Linked DNA regions of Macaca mulatta. The protein of the gene in region 1 interacts with the protein of each later gene in a pairwise test. Links are inferred from orthologs where the notes say so. Each region holds a gene or a part of one and is shown on either strand. Other genes may lie near its edges.

Region 1 (3,567 bases):
CTTACTGAGTCCAGTCTACAGAAAAGTGGACAAAAGTAAATTTCTAACCTGTTCACACATGAGAATCTGCTTTACACAAACACACATCTTAACCCCACTATGAAAAATTCAGCTCCACAAAGTCTGAGGGTAAGATCTGGGAATCTGATTTTTAATAAATCTGGCAGGTGCTCTGATGCAGCCAGTATAGCCTTGACCTCAAGACGCGTGCTTGACAATCTACTGATCTAAAAATACAAAACCAGGCTAAAGACAGCAAACATGTGCTCTAGTAACAACCATACAGATAACTAAGTGTTCTCTCTACATTTAAAGCTTCCATTTAAAAAAAAAAAAATGTGACCAGGTGCAGTGGCTCACGCCTATAATCCCACCAATTTGGGAGGCCAATGCAGGCGGATCACCTGAGGTCAGGAGTTCAAGACCAGCCTGACCAACATGAAGAAACCCCGTCTCCACTAAAAATACAAAATTGGCCAGGCGTGGTGGTGGGCGCCTATAATCCCAGCTACTCAGGAGGCTAAGGCTGAGGCAGAAGAATCGCTTGAACCCAGGAGGTGGAGGCTGCAGTGAGCCAAGACTGTGCCACTGCACTCCAGCCTGGGCAATAAGAGTGAGGCTCTATATCAAAAAAAAAAAAACATGAAAAAGATAGTTTATAAAAGATACTCACCATACACACACACACAAAAGCACAAAGAATAAGAGTATAAACAATGTTTTAATTATGTAAGTGAGGACAACAAAGAAAAAAGCCTGAGTTGTTATAAGCATACCTCCTACTCCAGGCACCAAATTTGGCGCAGTAGTACTCTGCCCAGCAGTGCCACTGGCAGCACTACCAGTAGTGCCACCCACAGTGCTGGTAGTGCCGCTGGAAGCTGATGAACTCTGGGAAGTCTGTGGAGCCCATGGATTGGGTAGTGGATCTCTATTTTCTGTACGGGAAGGTTGACTACCTTCACCAGAGGATGTATTGCTCACCAAGGAAGCAAATGGATTACCACCAAACTGTAATAAAGACAAAAAAATCACAAATAATAAGCTTTTGTTTTAAATAAGACAAGAAACTTTTTTTTTTTTTTTTGAGACGGAGTCTTGCTCTGTCGCCCAGGCTGGAGTGCAGTGGTGCGATCTCGGCTCACTGCTAGCTCCGCCTCCCGGGTTCACGCCATTCTCCTGCCTCAGCCTCCCAAGTAGCTGGGACTACAGGTGCCCACCACCACGCCCGGCTAATTTTTTGTATTTTTAGTAGAGACGGGGTTTCACCATGTTAGCCAGGATGGTCTCGAGCTCCTGACCTCGGGATCTGCACGCCTCAGCCTCCCAAAGTGCTGGGATTACAGACATGAGCCACCGTGCCCGGCCACTAAACATTTTAAAAACTGAAAACCACATTCCTCATATAAAAGCTACCCTCAGTCATACACATATTTGTGTTAAAACAGAAGCTACTCCTTGGCCTGAACCTTGGAGCCAGTGGATCACCTGCTCTTGTGCAGCACTCAGCATTGGTTCCTGAATATCTGTGTACATGCGCCTTAAAGCATTATATCCCCCTGGGATGCTTTCTAGGTTGCTCAAGGCTCGGTCCTGGTTCCTCATCATTTCCTGCATCATTGCTGGATTCCTGGCAAGTTCCAACGTCTAAGAAAAAGATTTCCGAAAAAATTTAAAAAGAAAAAAAGGCATTGAAATACACATGAATTACATGAATTACTTTATTAACTGCCATTAAACAAAGTTTATGGGAGGCCACTGTTTTGGACCAGCCTCCTGCACTATGCCCCAGCAGACCAGACCAAACCAAAATGGAGCCACTTGTGCCAAGTGCCATGTAATCAAGTCAACTATGAAAAGGGCCAGTTTCCCCCTCAAAACCATAGTAAGCTGCAGTCAACGTGAGTCACTGTAACAAGAAAGAGTTCCCTCCATTTTAACCCTATTAGGAAAGTAACTTTGAAATGACCCATCTGCTTTTTGTTTGTTTTTGCTTTCTTCAGCCCTTTTATGCCTATAAAGCCAACCTCTTCTGCTCAGCTCATGGGAACACTCTATTTTATAAAACGAGGTGTTGTCTGATTCTAGAATCACAAATAAAAACCAATTAAAGCTTTAGAGTTGTTGCAATTTTGTTTTTTTTTTTTTGTTTTTGTTTTTTTTTTTTTTTGAGACGGAGTCTCGCTCTGTCGCCCAGGCTGGAGTGCAGTGGCGCAATCTCGGCTCACTGCAAGCTCCGCCTCCCGGGTTCACGCCATTCTCCTGCCTCAGCCTCCCGAGTAGCTGGGACTACAGGCGCCCGCCCCTGCGCCCGGCTAATTTTTTCTATTTTTAGTAGAGACGGGGTTTCACCGTGGTCTCGATCTCCTGACCTTGTGATCCGCCCACCTCGGCCTCCCAAAGTGCTGGGATTACAGGCGTGAGCCACCACGCCCGGCCGCAATTTTGTATTCAATATACAAGGCAGGAGATTATTTTAAATAATCCCTGGTGTATTTCACCTCAAAAAAGGAACTTAGCATTCAAATAACATAAAGAAGGAAGCACTTCGTTAAGAGTGAATTTCCCATCTCCAACATTGGACTTTTTGATTCTTAATCCTTTAAAATAAACTATTTACAAAGATCCCTCAATTTAACAGAAAATTCAGAGTTCAAATAGCCAAATTAGGGCTTTGTTGAGTTTTCTTAAACAAAGGTAAGGATTTCTCTCTTTAGCTTAACCATACATATAGGACAATCTCGTTAATCATAGAAAATTACATAACAAATATATCATTTTTTAGCTAAACAAATTGAAAGAACTTTCCACATACTTGTCTCATTATATCTGGATTATTCAACATATGACTAATTTCTGGATTTCTCTGTATCAACTGCTGCATTTGTGGATTGGCCATAATTAATTGTCTCATCAGGTCAGGATTTGAGAGCATGCTCTGAACAAAGGGATTTTCCATGATCTGGACCATCATTTCAGGGTTAGACAAAAGTTGTCGCTGCATCTGACTCTGTAGTTCAGAGAAGTTGGTAGTATTCAAACCCAAGCTACTCAGACCTGCAAGTCCCCCAAGGCCACCTAAGAAGACAAAGGGCAAAAACATACAAACCAAAGTCAGAAAATTTATCATTAACATGACATAAACTATGAAGATGCAAAAAAGTATTAGTTGACCCAACAGTCTATCACAAGAAATCATTTAAAAACAAATCGAATACCTATTACTAATATTTAATTCCTATCATTGAAATTAGCCAAAAATTTACACTTTGGTTATTAAATTTAAGTAATAAAATCAACAAAATATATTTTCATGTGTGTAGTATAATACATAAATATATTTGGTCTTTCTCCTTGATCCTGAGTTACTAAAACCTTTGGAATTTTCTGAGTGACAGGAGTATCTTTTATTATTCATTACAAGCCCTTTTTGAAAATTATGCTAATGAAGTGACTTAGGCCCCTGGATAGCCTCAGAAAGGAGCTGGGCACCAGAAAGACAAAGTGATTAAAGGGCTGAAGCTTTCAGCCCCACCCACCAAGAAAGTGAGGGAAGGGAGCTGGAGA
Region 2 (3,651 bases), on another chromosome or scaffold:
GTACTTTAGTATCTCCTATGTTCAGGCAACATCTCTCCTCTGACTCTGTGTCCTCTCCAGCAGTTGCCCTTCTCTGCACCTCTTCACAATAACATCTCCTGAAAGGGCCACCCATGCCTGCTCCCTCCTTTCCTCACCCCCTCTGCAGCTAGACTTCTGTTCCTACACTCCACCCTGGTTGACAAAGTCACTGATTACTTCTCTATTTTCAGCTTACTTGACCCTTAATTGCCTTCAAAAATGGCTGACTGTGCCATGCATGTAATCCCAGCACTTTGGGAGGCCAAGGCAGGAGGATCACTTGAGCTCAGGAGTTCAAGACGAGCCTGCCTGGGCAACACAGTTAGACCCTATCTACAAAAAATAGAAAAATTAGCCGGGCATGGTGACTCACGCCTGTGGTCCCAGCTACAAAGGAAGCTGAGGTGGGAGGACGGCTTGAGTTCGGGAGGGTGAGGCTGCAGTGAGCCATGATCATGCCACTGCACTCCAGCCCACACAACAGAAGAAGGCCCTTTCTTTTACAAGAAAAAAAAAAATTGTTGACCCCTCCCTTGAAATGCTTTTGTCTTGGGGCTTACATGCCCTGCCTTATCCTGTTTCTTCCTACTTCTCTGGTTGTGCTTTTTCCTCTGCTCAATATTTAACATGTTGGTGTGACCCTGGCTGTGGCCTGGTCCCCCTTCTCTATCTACATGTTTTCTGTCGATGACCTCCATTGGTTCCAAGGGTTTAACTACCAAATCTGTGTTTCCAGCTCTGACACCCCAGGCTAAAGTAGCCACCTGGTCACTCCCTATTACATTAGTCAATTTCATTTATCTGTACCACCTACGATTTTCCTGATTCATTTATTCACTGATTGTCTGTCTTCGCCACTAAAATAAAAACTTCTTGAGCAGGCGCTTCATTGGTCTGCCTCTGTTCTATCCCAGGCCCTCAAAACAAGGACCAGATGTTCAACAAATATTTATTGAATGTGTACATGAATTAAAACTCTAATTGGTTATATGCTGGTGGTTTATTATTTTCATGGAGGAAATGACTTGTAAGCTGTGACACTCAGCTTTTGTCTCTGATCCTTCGTTATCCTATTCTGTCACCGAGGGCTGTCGTCATTGCTCGGACCATTTTGTGCTCTTTGAATTTCTAATCATCACAGTCAACCCAGAAGGCAGCCTTACCTTTCAGCACTCTTCAGCTGAATGAATGCAAGTTGGAGACAGGGTCATTTTTTGATAGGAAATTGAATGTTTATATGCTGGTATATATATAAAGCTTAGCTTCTTACAAAGAATTTCTCAAAAGTGAGCTTTGTTGAAGCACTGTAAATTATTAGAACTTTTATGGAAATTTTAATTTAGGAAAAAATGTCATCTGTCTGGGCTGACTTAGTTGTTAGTTGTTTGTCCTTTCTTTTTTTTTTGGTGGAGGGTACGGAGTTTTGCTCTCGTAGCCCAGACTGGAGTGCAGTGGCACGATCTCGGCTCACTGCAACCTCCGCCTCCCAGGTTCAAGCGATTCTCCTGCTTCAGCCTCTTAAGTAGCTGGGATTACAGGCATGCACCACCATGCCCGGCTAATTTTTGTATTGTTAGTAGAAACGGGGTGTCACCATGTTGGCCAAGCTGATCTCAAAACCCTGACCTCAGGTGATCCACCTGCCTCAGTCTCCCAAAGTGCTAGGATTACAGGCGTGAGCCACCGCACCTGGCAGTTTATCCTCCCTTTAGAGAGAAAGAGGTCTTTTTTTGAGACGGTCTTGCTCTGTTGCCCAGGCTGGAGTGCAATGGCGCGATCTTGGCTCACTGCAACCTCTGCCTCCCTGGTTCAAGGGATTCTGTCACCACAGCCTTCTGAGTAGCTGGGATTACAAGCGTGTGCCACCACGCCTGGTTAATTTTTGTATTTTCAGTACAGACGGGGTTTCACCATGTTAGTCAGGCTGGTTTCGAGCTCCTGACCTCAATTGATCACCTACCTTGGCCTCCCAAAGTGCTTGGATTACAAACATGAGCCACCACACCCGGCCAAGAGGCCTTCTTTTAAAAATGATTTATTGGGCCGGGTGCAGTGGCTCACGCCTGTAATCCCAGGACTTTGGGAGGCTGAGGTGGGTGGTTCACAAGGTCAGGAGTTTAAGACCAGCCTGGCCAATATGGTGAAACCCCATCTCTACTAAAAATACAAAAATTAGCCGGGTGTGGTGGCGCACACCTGTAGTCCCAGCTACTTGGGAGGCTGAGGCAGGAGAATCACTTGAACCTGGGAGGCGGAGCTTGCAGTGAGCCGAGATGGCACCACTGCACTCCAGCCTGGGCAACAGAGCAAGACTCTGTCTCCAAAAATAAAAATTAAAAAAATAAAAATAAAAATGATTTCTTAAGTAAATTTCAAATATAGAATGTATATGCTAGTGATAACAAAATTAACACTGTTTATCTGCAATAGGTAGATGTGGAGTTGATCGGTGCAATAAGTATAGGCAAACACATAGGAACATTTGACCTGTTTTTTTGTTGGTTTTAAAACATTGAATAATTTGGAAGCTTTTAAATCTCTTAATTTAAGCAACTAGATCGCTCTATTTATCTCCTTATCTTTAAAAAAAACTGTTAAAATTATCTTTCCCACATATCAAACTCTACTGTTTTTTTTTCCCATTTTTCTTTCATACTTCAGAAAGACAAGAATCCAGGACTTGAATCGTATCTTCCCACTTTCTGAGGACTATTCTGGATCAGGTTCCGGCTCCGGCTCTGGATCAGGATCTGGGAGTGGCTTCGTAACTGAAATGGAACAAGATTACCAACCAGTAGATGAAAGTGATGCTTTCCATGACAACCTTAGGTCTCTTGACAGGAATCTGCCCTCAGACAGCCAGGACTTGGGTCAACATGGATTAGAAGAGGATTTTATGATATAAAAGAGAATTTTCCCACCTTGACACCAGGCAATGTATTTAGCATATTTTGCGTACCATGGTTAGATGATCAACCTTGGGACAAAGGATTTTATAGACATTTTTAAACATCTGAAAAAGAAGCTTAAGTTTTATCATCCTTTTTTTCTCATGAATTCTTAAAGGATTATGCTTTAATGCTGTTATCTATCTTATTGTTCTTGAAAATACCTGCATTTTTTGGTATCATATTCAGCCAACATCATTATGAAATTAATTAGATTCCCATGGCCATAAAATGGCTTTAAAGAATATATTTTTTTTAAAAAATGGTTTGAGAAGCAAATTGGCAGGTAATATTTCGTACCTAAATTAAGAATCTGACTTGGATTGTGAATTACAGATATGCCCCTTTTCTTATAAAAACAAAACAAAAAAATAGTGAAGCACAGTGAATTTGTAGAGTGGGGGTATTTGACATATTTTACAGTGTGGAGTGTACTATATACTATTACCTTTGAATGTGTTTGCAGAGCTAGTGGACATGTTTATCTACAAGTACAATTGCTGTTACATAACACCCCAAATAACTCCCAAATTAAAGCACAGTTGTGCTCTCAATACCTCATACTGCTTTACCTTTTTTTCCTGGATATCTGCGTATTTTCAAATGTTACTATATATTAAAGCAGAAATATAACCAAAGGTTAAGTTGTCTCGGATCTCTTGTTCTAAACCCAGGAAATAGT

Evidence for each region. The genes of interacting proteins can lie anywhere in the genome.
Region 2: the proteins of UBQLN1 (region 1) and SRGN interact in binary tests that used the Homo sapiens proteins (3 or more experiments, as listed by UniProt). The two-hybrid records come from large-scale screens. The link is inferred for Macaca mulatta from reciprocal best matches to the Homo sapiens genes UBQLN1 and SRGN.

Annotation. Positions count from the first base shown.
Region 1 is NC_133420.1:114,604,496-114,608,062, forward strand, and holds part of UBQLN1 (ubiquilin-1), read right to left. Parts: intron 3,079-3,567; coding exon 2,816-3,078; intron 1,648-2,815; coding exon 1,489-1,647; intron 1,012-1,488; coding exon 777-1,011; intron 1-776. UniProt on the Homo sapiens protein: Plays an important role in the regulation of different protein degradation mechanisms and pathways including ubiquitin-proteasome system (UPS), autophagy and endoplasmic reticulum-associated protein degradation (ERAD) pathway.
Region 2 is NC_133414.1:80,543,230-80,546,880, reverse strand, and holds the end of SRGN (serglycin precursor), read left to right. Parts: intron 1-2,682; coding exon 2,683-2,926; 3' UTR 2,927-3,144; downstream 3,145-3,651. UniProt on the Homo sapiens protein: Plays a role in formation of mast cell secretory granules and mediates storage of various compounds in secretory vesicles. Required for storage of some proteases in both connective tissue and mucosal mast cells and for storage of granzyme B in T-lymphocytes.